Macaca fascicularis: one gene and its partners. The main gene of each other region encodes a partner of the protein of the gene in region 2 in a complex. Links are inferred from orthologs where the notes say so. Each region holds a gene or a part of one and is shown on either strand. Other genes may lie near its edges.

Region 1 (4,187 bases), on a different chromosome or scaffold from region 2:
GAGGGGGAGGAGAAGGGGAAAAAGAGAGGTACTCAGAGACTGAGGGACACTTGGCCCTGGCCCAGGAGTTCTCAGACTCACAAGAGCAAAGTGTATCCGAGGTCAGGAGGCAGTGGAGGAGTGTACACGGTGGTATCGGGGTGATGAGGGGTCGGGGGCGGACATTCCAAGTCAGGACAGACTGTGGAGAGGAGGAAGTATGGTTTTCAGGCTGGAACTTTGACTGGGGACTCTGGCCGGGGACAGCATGTCAGTCTGGGCCAAGGACAAAGTGGTTCTGGGATTCCTACTTCTAACCCAGGACAGGAGCCAGCAGGAGCAGGACATGTGTACCTGGACCCTTGGCTGGTGGCCACCTCCAGGGACGTGCCCCTTCTTGGCTCCAGGAGAAGTCAGGGAGTAGAGAAGTCAGTGAGAGCCCTGAAAGTTTCCAACATGAGGCTTGAGCAAAATGTGAGGGCAACGAATTTACCCAAATCAGAGTAGACAGATTACCTAATGAAGACGGGGGTATTAAAGCACGAAGTGGCAGGCTCTGGACCAGCCACACCGTGTTCAGGCATCCTGGCCAACTTCCCTTCCCTTGAAACCAGCTGTCTCCCCTTTGCTAGTACTGTCCCAATGACTGGGCCCCAGGAGGGTCTGAATGGTTGTCTATTGGCTAGGAGTCTCCCCACAGCCTGTGTGGGGAGCACCAAGTGTGCAGATCCAGAAGCCCCACCTTCCTCTGGAACACTCTCTCTGCACCCAGTCTTTTTCTTCCCTGAAGGCACCACGCTGGACTATTTGCCTGTGGTGGTATTGTACAAGTATCATGCCTTGTTAATGACACCAGATGGTAGGCTCCCTGAGGACAGGCTGGTATGGTGTATCATTTGTATCTTACATTTGTATCTTACATTAGTATCTTTTGCTCCCTCTGTTACCTGCCTGATAGGAGTTTCTATGGAAAAAACCTGCCCACTTCTTACTGTCGTGGTGGCTGACTTCATGCTCAGGTCTTGAAGAGAGAGATCACTGGCCAGCTACCTGGAGGCAGGAGGTGCCAGCCCCAACCACCACGCCTTTCTGAGAAGTCAGGCAGTATTCCCAGGGCCACAACAGGGCCAAAAAGCAAGAGCAGAGAAAGGAGGTGGCCTGCGATGAGAGGCAGGCAGAGCTGGCTGGACCCCTCGGAGGCTCCTGGGCTGCATGCCACCCTCCTGTTCTGGAGGGTTTGGAACCACGTAGGACCCTGTGCCCTTGCCCTAGGAAACTCGTTGCTCTGCCTTCTCCTTCTTTCTGCTCCCACCTCCCTGTGACTCCAGCCATGGTCCTGGCGTTAGTCCACCTGGTCTTGGCCTTCCCCTTGTGTGGTGCCAGGCAGGCAGCAATGACAGCCAGATCATAGGACTGTGGCAGCTGGAGGTGGGAGCTGGCAGCCCCAGGAGACATTGACACGCAGAGGACAGGCAGCCCGGGATGGGGCTGCTGGGGCGTGGGTGGGGACCAGGCTAGGGGCGGACGTGGGCACTAGTGCCAAGTATTGGCAGGTGAGGGCAAAAGGACTCCCCTTTCCTGAGCTGCAGGGAGGGGTTGGGTCAGGTGCTGTGCTTCCTCCTTTGGTGCTTAGCGACAGGGAGACTAAGGTGAAGCATGCCCATGCCTGGGACAGAAAGAAAGGCTGGAGCCAGGATGTAAGAGAACCAAGTATCTGGGGGTGGGATGGAGGCAATGGGGAGGGCATCCTGTGCAGGGGAGGAGGCCAGCCAGGACCTTGGGGTTAGGGAGGAGAAGACCAGCCCAGCCCGGCTGGGCCCGGCCCTGCCTTAGGGAGGCTGCCTCTGCTCACACATGCAGGCCAAAAGGAGCAACAGCTGGGCTCCATGCCGCCACCCCCTCCGCGCACTCCTGCCTATGCAACAAGTGTCACGTCTGCATGTTGGCACATCATCCCCGGTTTCCCGCGCCCCTGGACCGGCGGGAGGCTCCCAGCCTTCAGGGACCAGAAGACGTTCAACATGGGAGCCCAGCCCACCCGACTCTGGTCAGTTCCTTCCATCGATCCACGAGGGAGCGGGCATGTCCCCGGCCTCCACCCTCACCACGCGGGGTGCAGGGCATGGGGCACGCGGCGCACACCTGTGGTCCTGCGCTCCTGGGACTGCGAGCGACAGTTAGGAGGGTCAAGGTGACGGGCAGATGATGCCAGAGGCCAAGTTGAGCCCCGCAGAAGAAGCGGTTCTTGCGGCCAGCCGCCCCATGGCCCGGGGCGCCCTGTCAATCTGCTGCCTGGCGCTGGCCGGCGCGTGGCTGCTACTGCACGGCTCGCGCCGGGCTCCCCGGGAGGCGGGGAGAGTGCGAGGAGGGCGGAGGGAAAGGAGCGCGCCGGCTGCAGCCCGGGCGAGCGGGAGGGCGCGCACTCACCTCCACACACCGCGGTCAAGGAGAGCCAGAGCAGCAGGAGCGCCTGCACGCAGAGCCGCAGATTCATGCTGCTCCTCGGGCCGCCGCGGCCCCGGCGAGCCGGCGCGGGGGAGGAGAGGTCGGGCGCCAGGAGGCCAAGAAAGGCGCAAGCCGCGGCTGGCGCGTGCGGGCGCGGAGCTCGGGAGGCTCCCTGGCCGCTGAGTGTGCGCGCTGAGCCCCGCCGCTCCCGCTGGCCGCCTCCGCTCTTCTGCAACCTCCTCTCCCGCCGCGGGGCAGCGCCGCGAAGCTGGCCTCGGCGGCTCCGGGAGCGGCAGCGGCGAGCTCTTTCCTAGCAGCTGGTTGCTCAGCCGCGGCTGCAACTGCCCCTGACCCCGGCTGCCAGCGAGAATGCTCCCCGCTCACTCCAGGGGCTGCATTTTGTAGCTTGTGGCTTGGCCGCGAGCCCACTTGGTCATGTGGTCATCGGGAGGGCTAGAGGGGGGGCAGGAAGAGGGAGAGGGAGCGAGCCTCCCGCACCGCCCCCCTCCAGGCACGCACTCTGCAGCCCCAGCCAGAGCGCGAGAGGGAACCCTGAGGTGGCCCCACAACAAAGGCTGCGCAGCCTCTCTGACAACCCACAACCGCTCCCCGGACAATGCCCGTCTGGCCGGGGGCCAGAGGGTTTGCAGAGACCTGAAGGATTTCAAACACAGGAAGCATTTGGGGCGGTGGAGGGGCACACTTAACCCTTTCTCACCTTGCTTCCTTCACAGCTGTCAGGAAACCTAGGCGCTTAGGGAAGGACTCAGTCTGGGTCACCTTCACTCACGCCCTCTACCTCTGACCCTGACCCTGGTCCTTGCCCTTGCCGCTGGCCAGCTTCAAGGGTTTGGTCAAGACACCCACACACTGGCCTTCCTCTCTCCTCTGCATTTTCAACTGGCTCTGAATTGGGGGTGACTGCCTAGGCTTGTGCCCAAGGCTTAATTGCCCAGCACCCTCATGTTCCCTGCATCCCCCAGGAGGCACCCTCTACCTGGAATGCCCCCACCCCACCTTTCCGTGAGCAATTCATTCTTGCAGCAGCACCTCAAATCCCATCGCATCCAGAAGCCTTCCCGGGATAACACTAATCCAGCAAGGGTTGCCCCTCAGCTCCTCCCCACTGTTGGGACATGCGACAGCTCCTATGGTGTCCCCTTTCTTGTTCCCTGGAGCTGTCCTCATTCTAGTTCCCCATCATGATAAGAGGCAGGTGGTTTACCCAGCTCCACACAGTCAAGGCTGGATTCATTTTGGGTGTACTTGGGATTCCGGTTTAGAAGCGGGTCCTGAAGTTGTTTGCCTTTCCAGACTGGACTGTTAGCTCCTTCTGTAGCTTGGGAGCTCCCAAGGCATGGGGCTGCCTCCCTCATTGGACTGGGAACCCCCTAAGGTAGGATACTGTCTTCTCACTCTTCTGGATCTCTCCAAAGTCCCCAATATCTTGCTCTGCACATAGGTGGCACTCAACACATATTAAAAGACTGAATCGAAAGGTGTCTCCACCTTTCAGCAAGCTAGGCAGTTTGCTTGAAGTGTAAGTCCAGATTTACACAAAAGATACATTGGACAGGGTGCATGTGTGCCATAAAAGACATGAGAGACCACGGCATATTTAAAATATTTTTGAAATGTTACAAAAATCCTATATATACACAATGTATTTATTATCAGTCTAGCTCCGCCAGAAGGGTTACCTCCATAAGGGAGGGATCTTTGCTTTGTTCACAGCTGTGTCCCCAGACCTAGAACAGTGACTA
Region 2 (5,024 bases):
TCAGCTCCTGCTTTTGTTCCATCTCACTATTACCCAACTTTAGGTGGTGGAAATGGTGCGTATTTTTAAAAAATCTTACGTCGTGCATCTTCCTTCCTTCCTTCCTTCCTTCCTTCCTTCCTTCCTTCCTTCCTTCCTTCCTTCCTTCCTTCCCTCCCTCCCTCCCTCCCTCCCTCCCTCCCTCCCTCCCTCCCTCCTTCCTTCCTTCCTTCCTTCCTTCCTTCCTTCCTAGAGGTCCTGGAGAGGTGATGAGATGGGGCAAAGTGAGCTTCTACAGAACTTTCCCCACAGCATCCTCCAGTGACTGCGTCTCTTTCTAGAGACCCCCCTCCTCTAGCTCAACTTCCTGACCCCCTGTGGTCTTATACAAACCTCTTGGTCCACGGAGGGTAGTAAAAACCTGAGAACTGAAATGTATCCAAGTTCTCGCCACATAGTAATTCATACACTCCTTCTTCCACCTATGGATTCCCCTTTTCCCTCACACGTTACGTCATCCATCCACTTACTCACTCATCAGCCATTCACCGGGCCGGCAGGGCAAGGTGGCTCATGCCTATAATTCCAGCACTTTGGGTCATCTGAGGTCAGGAGTTTGAGACTAGCCTGGCCAATATGGTGAAACCCTGTCTCTACTAAAAAAACAAAAAAAAATTAGCCTGTAATCCCAGCTACTGGGGAGGCTGAGGCGGGAGAATCGCTTGAACCCGGGAGGCGGAGGTTGCAGTGAGCCGAGATTGCAGCATTGCACTCCAGCCTGGGCAACAAGAGTGAAACTCTGTCTCAACAAACAAACAAACAAACAAACAAGCAAACAAACAGCCTTTCACCTACGACATGCCAGGTACTGTGTTATGTTCGTGCTTGGAGAAGAAGAAAAGCAAACAATCAACTGTAGCAGAATTCACTTTATTTCCTTGGGCAAAACATTGACCTTGTTGGGCCTTTGTTTCCTACAGATTTAATGACTTGTTTAGAGATAATTTTGTCCTGGATTTCTTCCATCCTGTGACTACCTTCAACCTTCAAAAGCATCCTGTGCCATCTGCAAACTGCAAACTGCAGTCTACACTAGTGTAGGGGGATTTCTCTAGAAACCACGGAAGTTCTCAAGGGAGGGTCAAAGCCAAGGGGTAGCGAAAGATGAAGCCAGAGGCAAAGTAGGAGAAGACCCTCGTGTGACACCTGGTCTGGGTGAGGGCTGGGGGTGCAGGAAGGGAGCCAGGGGGCCAGACCTGCCTGCCAGGAGGGCCTGCCAGATGCCCTGATGATCCTGCGAAATCTTACACCCTCTTTGCTCCCTACCAGCCCTGGCTCCAGCTCAGGCTGGATTGCAATCTGCATAATGTGTCCCATTTAGATTGGATGGGAGGGGGTGAGAACAGGAGGGCGGAGAGCACTGAGGAGGGAGTGCCCTGAAGGGCAGGCAGGAAGTGGTGGCCAGAGGAAAGTGGAGGGATGGAGGCTGGGGTGAAGGTGGGTGGCAACCAGAAGGGGGAGGCGGGGCCAGGAGAGCAGACTTGCAAAACCACAGATAATGTTCAGCCCAGCACAGTAGGGGTCAATTTGGTCCACTTGCTCAGTGACAAAAAAAAAAAAAAAAAAAAAAAAAAGTGGGCTGTCACTTAAAGATTTTGACTCACAAGAGAGGGGCTGGTCTGGAGGTGGGAGGAGGGAATGACGAGTCAAGGAGGAGACAGGGACGCAGGAGGGTGCAAGGAAGTGTCTTAACTGAGACGGGGGCAAGGCAGGAGAGGGTGGAGGAAATTCTGCAGGAGACAGGCTTCCTCCAGGGTCTGCAGAACCCAGAGGCAGCTCCTCCTGAGTGCTGGGAAGGACTCTGGCCATCTTCAGCCCTTCTTACCCTCTGAGGCTCAAGCCAGAAATTCAGGCTGCTTGCAGAGTGGGTGACAGAGCCACGGAACTGGTGTCCCTGGGACCCCCTGCCCGTCTTCTCTCCACTCCCCAGCATGGAGGAAGGTAGTGATTTTGACAACTACTATGGGGCAGACAACCAGTCTGAGTGTGAGTACACAGACTGGAAATCCTCGGGGGCCCTCATCCCTGCCATCTACATGTTGGTCTTCCTCCTGGGCACCACGGGCAACGGTCTGGTGCTCTGGACCGTGTTTCGGAGCAGCCGGGAGAAGAGGCGCTCGGCTGATATCTTCATCGCCAGCCTGGCAGTGGCTGACCTGACCTTCGTGGTGACGCTGCCCCTGTGGGCTACCTACACGTACCGGGACTATGACTGGCCCTTTGGGACCTTCTCCTGCAAGCTCAGCAGCTACCTCATCTTTGTCAACATGTACGCCAGCGTCTTCTGCCTCACCGGCCTCAGCTTCGACCGCTACCTGGCCATCGTGAGGCCAGTGGCCAACGCTCGGCTGAGGCTGCGGGTCAGCGGGGCCGTGGCCACGGCGGTCCTGTGGGTGCTGGCCGCCCTCCTGGCCATGCCTGTCATGGTGTTCCGCACCACCGGGGACCTGGAGAACACCACCAAGGTGCAGTGCTACATGGACTACTCCATGGTGGCCACTGTGAGCTCGGATTGGGCCTGGGAGGTGGGCCTGGGGGTCTCGTCCACCACCGTGGGCTTCGTGGTGCCCTTCACCATCATGCTGACCTGTTACTTCTTCATCGCCCAAACCATCGCTGGCCACTTCCGCAAGGAGCGCATCGAGGGCCTGCGGAAGCGGCGCCGGCTGCTCAGCATCATCGTGGTGCTGGTGGTGACCTTTGCCCTGTGCTGGATGCCCTACCACCTGGTGAAGACGCTGTACATGCTGGGCAGCCTGCTGCACTGGCCCTGTGACTTTGACCTCTTCCTCATGAACGTCTTCCCCTACTGCACCTGCATCAGCTACGTCAACAGCTGCCTCAACCCTTTCCTCTATGCCTTCTTCGATCCCCGCTTCCGCCAGGCCTGCACCTCCGTGCTCTGCTGTGGCCAGAGCAGATGTGCGGGCACCTCCCACAGCAGCAGTGGGGAGAAGTCAGCCAGCTACTCTTCGGGGCACAGCCAGGGGCCTGGCCCCAACATGGGCAAGGGTGGAGAACAGATGCACGAGAAATCCATCCCCTACAGCCAGGAGACCCTTGTGGTTGACTAGGGCCGGGAGCGGAGAGAAGCCTGGTGCCCTCAGCCCTCCCCAGCCTTTGCCCTTGCTTTCTGAAAATCAGGTAGTGTGGCTACTCCTTCTCCTGTGCACATCCTTTAACTGCCCCCTGACTCCTGACCCGCCCTGTCCTCCTCTACTGCTTTATTCCTTCTCAGAGGTTTGTGGTTTAGGGGAAAGAGACTGGGCACTACGGACCTGACCTTGCACAAGCCATTTAATCTCACTCAGCCTCAGTTTCTCCATTGGTATGAAATGGGGGAAAGTCATATTGATCTTAAAATGTTGAAGCCTCAGTCTGGACTCAATAAAAGCTTGTTTCCCTCCGCTGCTTTCTTAGATCTGCAACCGTCTTTTCTCCCTCCTTTCCTTGTAGTTTTTCCCCCCAACACTCTCTGCAGCTGTCGCTCCTCATCCCTGCCTTCTGGCACCAATCCCCTCCTATAGCTCATCCCCCCTCCGTCCATCCCTCCTTCTCCCCTGTCTACGTTCTTGTTCTGAAGGGCTACTAAGGGTTAAGGATCCCAAAGCTTGCAGAGACTGACCCTGTGTAAGCTCTCTATCCTGTTTTCTGAGTGTGAGGCAGGGAATGGGCTGGGGTGGGGGTGGGCTGTGTGTCAGCAGGTAATTAGCACTCCAGCCCTTAGATATGGGAGCTCCAGAGCTTGCCCTAAAATTGGATCACTTCCTTGTCATTTTGGGCACTGGGGCTAGGGTGATTCCTGCAGTTCCCCCATGGCACCACATCACTGACTAGATATGCTTTCTCCAAATTGTCCGCAGACCCTTTCATCCTTCCTCTATTTTCTATGGGAATTGGAAGGCAGCAGGGCTGATGAATGGATGTACTCCTTGGTTTCATTATGTGTGTGTTGGGAAGGGAAACTAGAGAGAGAGGATGGAGGGGTGTCTGCATTTAGTCCAGACACTGCTTGGCTCGCTCCCCAAGTCCTTCTGTCTCTGACTTCCTGCAGAACTGTGAGCTGAAGGTTTTCCTCGTCTCCCCATCTTACTCCATCACACTGATTTCTTTCTTGGGCACTAGTACTACTTGGTGCCAAGAGTCATGTTGTTTGGGATGGAGATGCCTGCCTCGCCTCTGTGTGTTGTACTTACATGTCTATATGGGCAAGCCTGGCATGAACAGCAGTGTGCCTGGATCATTTGGACGAACCTCCTCCCACCCCCCACTCCACTGCATCTCTGCTGTTCATACATTCCCCTTGGCGGGGGGTGGTGGGGGGCAGGGACACACTGAGGCAATGAAGAATGTAGAATAAAAATGAATCCATCCCCCCACTGGATTTGGGGGCTCCAACGGCTGGTCCGTGCTTTAGGAGAGAAGTTAATGTTTGCACCAGGCTTCCTGTAGGGAGGTTCCTCCCCAAAGCAGCTGGCGCTAAGGCTTGGGGGCGTCCTACTGAGCTGGGTTCCCGCTCCTTCTTGGGCTCCATGAAGGAAGTAAGAGGCTGGTTGAGAGCTTCCCTTGGCCCCTTTCTGGTGCCTCCCCACCTGGCTTCAAATTTATGAGCATTGCCCTCATCATCCTTTCTTGTTCCAGAGTCAGTGGTCCTCTTCCTAAGGAGGTCTGCTTGCCATGGGCCAAAAGGCACTGGGTGGGTTTTTTTCTCTTCCTACCCTCAGGATTGGACCTCTTGGCTTCTACTGGATTGGGGATCTGGGAATAGAGACTGTGATGGGGCAGATGGCATGATGTCTACACTGCCAGAGAGACTGTGAGGATGAGATTAATAGTGGGGCCTCTGTGAGCTAGAGGCGGGGAGTGTCTATTCCGGGTTTTGTTCTTGGAGGACTGTAAAAGTGAAGGACAAGACATGGGCGATGGAGATAAGAAAAGCCCAGCTTGATATGAATGGACATCTTGACCCTCCCTGGAATGGCACC
Region 3 (4,234 bases), on a different chromosome or scaffold from region 2:
AGATTGCTAAAAATCATTCTGAAGTATTTCTAATGGTGCTAGTACTGGTTTAACGAAATAAGAATTCTGGTCAGGCGAGGTGGCTCACGCCTGTAATCCCAGGACTTTGGGAGGCCGAGGCGGGCGGATCACCTGAGGTCAGGAGTTCGAGACAAGCCTGGCCAACATGGGGAAACCCGGTCTCTACTAAAAACACAAAATTAGCCAGGCATGGTGGCACGCACCCGTAGTTCCAGCTACTCCGGAGGCTGAGGCAGGAGAATGGCTCGAACCAGGAGGCGAAGGTTGCTGTGAGCCGAGATCGGGCCACTGCACTCCAGCCTGGGCGACAGAGCAAGACTCCGTCTCAAAAAAACAAACAAAAACAAAACAGAAATAAGAATTCCATAATTTCTTCTGAAAATAAGGCCTCTGCTACATCTCTCTCCAAACTCACTATGACTGTAAAGATTCACCTTCTGATTCTATATTATACATTCAATTATATTTAAGTGTTAATCTAGAACAGTGGTCCTTAACTAAGGCTGTATATTGCCCCCAGAGGACTTCTAGCAATATGTGGAAACGCTTTTGGAGCTCATAGGTTGGGGGACTGCTACTACCATCTAATGAGTGGAGGCCAAAGATGCTGCTGAACATCCTACAATGCACAAAAACAACCTGCACAACAAAGAATTTCCCGGCCCCAAATGCCAACCGTGCTAAGGTTAAGACACACTGATCTCTTCTGAACACAAGCAAAAGCCTCCTCCTGGGACCTTTATTCTAGTCCATCCCTAACAGTCACCTAATTAAAGGACAAAACACCACGACCAGATGATTCATTTCTCAATTGCTTTAAACATGGTGGATGGCTGGCTCAAACTAAGAGTCACACAAAAATACACTGAAACAACATATCACACCAGGAGAGCAAAAACTGCAAGAAAAAAACTTTTTAATCCTTTTATTTCATATCTATCTCACATTCAATTCACAAGAGAAGCAGATACACTAACCTCCTCAAAACACAGTATTTCTTAATAATGTAAAAACTTAGGCAACAGCATTAACTGAGAAAGACTTATGTTGGGGGCGAGAGGGTGAAAAAAGCCACGCAGGTCTTTAAAATGCAAAGTTATTTCACAGTTTACTTGCAAAATGACTCAGATCATTATTACTTTTAGTCATGCCAACTTTGCTGCTCCCAAGCCTACTAGTAATGTAGAAAAAAAAACCACCATTTTTTCTGCAGTCATTAAACCAATGAAACAGAAGCTTACTGAAAACAGGTTTGTGCAACATTTCTTTTTTATTATAACTGGTATAAAAATAAAAGCAGTCCTTGGAAATGCAAATGAAGATTCTGAGAAATTTTTCATCTAAATACCTAGAGTGTGAGAAGAAAACATGCAAACAAAAGAAAACCCTAACTCACAAATCTTAACCTGTGACTATTTTCCTACTGCTTCCCTCAATGAAAACCCTGGTTTACTCTTTTTTATTTTCTTCCCTGTCAAACATTTGGAAAAGACCTCCACGTAGCGTTTCACGAACAGAACAGTGCGAAGAACAAATAAAAGCCTTGCGTGTACCTGGCAAATCTCATTCATCAGAAACGGTGGCAGCGGAGGGAGAACCGTGTTGTCTGGCGTGACCCTCTCGCTCCTTTCACAGCAGTTTTCACCACTCGAGTCTTGCCTACTACTAAAGCAAAGCTTCCCAACCCCACTTGGGTGGCTTCCATGCCCCTACAGCAAGAAAAATCAAGCATCCAGCGCAGCCTTTCCCCAGCGCAGGCGGAATGTAATCGATGCTCCTTGACCACTTAAGGAGTCGCCATAGGAAGTTAACAGGAAAGACATTTCAGCCCCATCTCAGAGACCCCACAAAAGGTGCACTGATTTCACCAAACGTGGCACTCTGGGCATGAGAAAACCACAGTCGAAACACAACCCACACCTCACACGAAGAAGGGTTTTCCGGGAGGGGGCTGGGGACGGCGTGGGGGGGTGGTTATTTTCTAGCCACGAATGCCCCTTCGTCTTTGTAAGGCTGAGCTAAACTTCAAAGCAAAGGGTTTCCACAGGACCCGCCGCCTCGGACTCGCGCCTGGGCTCTTTGCTGGGTCGCCGAAGGCATCCGAGAGAAGTGACGCGCCCGCCCCACCACGGGGAGTCCTCGCCCGCCGGGGCGGAGGGAGGCCGGGCACCCGGAGAGGAGGACCCGCCTCGGCTGCGCACCGCCTGACCTAGCTCCCGCTCGGAAGCCTCCTCGGGCGCTTCCTCCCCTTCCCTCCGGGTTTCCAAATGCCGAGGGCCGCGCAGCGGTCACCGCGGAGCGCCGCGCCCGGTCCCCCGCCAACCCGGGGTCCCCGACCCGGCCGCCCTTACCAAGCAGCAGCAGCTTGACCTCGCGCGCCGCCTTCTCGCCGTCCTCGCGGAGGTTGCGGTCGATCATCTTACTCCGCTCCACCGCCGCCTTGTCCTCGGCGCTCAGCGTGCAGCCCATGTTGCCGAGAGCGAGAGCCTGCCGCCGCTCCCTCCGCGCCCGAGTGCGGGCTCCAAGCACAGGGGAATCCTTTCTCTCTCTGAGCGGGCGTTCGAACGCCTCCCGACGGGGGCCACGCCACCCCCACCACTTCCTAAGCGGAGTCGAGAGAGACGCCGTCCGCAGAGGGGCAGACAGCAACGCGCGGCTGTTCCTCACGGCCAGGCTCTGCTTCCCGGTGCGGCTCAGCGCCCCCAAGTCTCCGGTTTGGGGTTTTGAAGCTCTGGGTACAGTGGCTGCTGCCCTCCCGCCGGTGGCCGCGCCGCAGCCTTGCCAAGCCCAGCCGAGCTCGGCCTCCGCGCGCCGCCGCGGCCCCGCCCCTCCCGCCACCCCGCGACCACTCCCAGAGCGCGCGCCCGCGCACGTGCCCTTGGACAGCGCCCACTCGGAGGGGCGCGCGCGCCCCCCGGCTCCCTACCGCGGCGCCGCGACACCCCCGAGGGCCCGGCGCCCCCTGGCAGCGTCCCCGGAGCACAACACTGACCCGCGGGCCTGTGGCCTTCTGCCCTGGGCGGGAGTGGGGTAATTTCTTTCCGTTTACTCACACCGACGGAGCTGTGCGTACCTGCCCTTTCGGGTAGGGGTGGGAGAGCTGCCAAAGTTGCCGAAAAAAGCCAGTTCTGGGCGTTTGAGCATGCCCAGCGCCGGCAGCCACACAAGGCTTTTCAAAATGCAAATCCCTGTCGGCTGGCTTTCAGGGCCGTGGGAAACAGGGAGCTGGGGAAGGAATGGAGCCTGGTGAAACCAGAGATGGGCACAGTGGAGAACAGGAAAGTCGGGGGAGGAGACTAGGAAAGGGCAACAAGGTCAACTTTCTTCCTACCTTTTGCTTCTCTTTCCTTCTTCCTATCCCTCCCTCCTTCCTTCCATTCTCAGGTTTTTCACAAGAACTCATTTTGAAGGATTTCCTTGTAACCTAAAAAAATGGGAGACAAATAATCAAAAAGTACTTTTAAATGATAAGAGCAATAAAACACACCCACAACAAGCCAATCTCCACATCATAGCAGATCTCCTCTAGAGCAGCACATAAGCTTCCATGCCAAATTTTGAGCCAATATTTATTACCGTGTTTGTAACTCCTGTACCACTGGGCATGTCGTTTTTACAGGCCTTAGCTTCTTTCCCCATAAAATGAGGAGTGCATTTATGGGGCTATGGCCCCATCCTTCCAGCTGTAACTGATCCGCCCGAGATAAGTTCCTGTGGCCTGCAGGAGGCATTACTACTCAGCACCCAATGAATGAGCAGAGGCTTAAGATCTCATCTCTCCCTGTCAATTGCACTACACCTTTCCCCTACAGATATCACAGGAAGCGTTAACTGATTAGAAAATGGGACTGGTAGCAAGGAAAAACATCTTCCTTGATGTATTAAAAATTGGGAAATGCTCCCTGGTTTTCATCTGGAAATCTTATTATCTAAAAATCATTTGAGAAAACTGGGCTTGAGTTTTCCAAGGTGAGGCTGAACTGATGATACAAGCAGAATAGCTTTCGAGTAGGTCACTGAGACCACGCTTGTGAGCTAGCAGAGACTCTGAGTTACCTCCTTATGGGACATGTCCTTTCCTGTTCTCCTATGGGAGTCACACCACCTGCTGGGCTGATGAGATGCAATTTCAAGATCTGCCTCAACTATAATCTTTTGTAATATAACAACAAAAAGGAGCAATCTTTAAATGTACTTACTCACCTTCTACACT

Evidence for each region.
Region 1: the proteins of APLNR (region 2) and APLN are in contact, whole or in part, in a cryo-EM structure (PDB 8XZG), measured with the Homo sapiens proteins. The link is inferred for Macaca fascicularis from reciprocal best matches to the Homo sapiens genes APLNR and APLN. Residues at the interface, in NP_005152.1 of Homo sapiens: Tyr35, Phe78, Trp85, Tyr88, Thr89, Tyr93, Ser106, Ile109, Phe110, Met113, Pro163, Val164, Arg168, Gln180, Cys181, Tyr182, Met183, Tyr185, Glu194, Glu198, Leu201, Gly202, Ser205, Tyr264, Lys268, Tyr271, Ser275, Cys281, Asp284, Leu285; in NP_059109.3 of Homo sapiens: Arg66, Pro67, Arg68, Leu69, Ser70, His71, Lys72, Gly73, Pro74, Met75, Pro76, Phe77.
Region 3: the proteins of APLNR (region 2) and GNAI1 are in contact, whole or in part, in a cryo-EM structure (PDB 8XZF), measured with the Homo sapiens proteins. The link is inferred for Macaca fascicularis from reciprocal best matches to the Homo sapiens genes APLNR and GNAI1. Residues at the interface, in NP_005152.1 of Homo sapiens: Arg62, Ser63, Ala64, Asp126, Arg127, Ala130, Ile131, Val132, Pro134, Val135, Ala136, Ala138, Arg139, Arg141, Leu142, Ile224, Ile228, His231, Phe232, Arg236, Glu238, Arg245, Leu246, Ile249, Ile250, Phe312, Asp313, Pro314, Arg315; in NP_002060.4 of Homo sapiens: Glu28, Arg32, Asp193, Leu194, Glu308, Lys314, Asp315, Asp341, Ile343, Ile344, Lys345, Asn347, Leu348, Lys349, Asp350, Cys351, Gly352, Leu353, Phe354.

The regions. Positions count from the first base shown.
Region 1 is NC_088395.1:135,920,636-135,924,822, forward strand, and holds the start of APLN (apelin), read right to left. Parts: upstream 2,801-4,187; 5' UTR 2,474-2,800; coding exon 2,407-2,473; intron 1-2,406. UniProt on the Homo sapiens protein: Peptide hormone that functions as endogenous ligand for the G-protein-coupled apelin receptor (APLNR/APJ), that plays a role in cadiovascular homeostasis. Functions as a balanced agonist activating both G(i) protein pathway and beta-arrestin pathway of APLNR.
Region 2 is NC_088388.1:16,377,432-16,382,455, forward strand, and holds the start of APLNR (apelin receptor), read left to right. Parts: upstream 1-1,724; 5' UTR 1,725-1,970; coding exon 1,971-3,113; 3' UTR 3,114-5,024. UniProt on the Homo sapiens protein: G protein-coupled receptor for peptide hormones apelin (APLN) and apelin receptor early endogenous ligand (APELA/ELA), that plays a role in the regulation of normal cardiovascular function and fluid homeostasis.
Region 3 is NC_088377.1:141,289,691-141,293,924, forward strand, and holds the start of GNAI1 (guanine nucleotide-binding protein G(i) subunit alpha-1), read right to left. Parts: upstream 2,801-4,234; 5' UTR 2,491-2,800; coding exon 2,373-2,490; intron 1,926-2,372; exon of another isoform or gene 1,575-1,925; intron 1-1,574. UniProt on the Homo sapiens protein: Guanine nucleotide-binding proteins (G proteins) function as transducers downstream of G protein-coupled receptors (GPCRs) in numerous signaling cascades.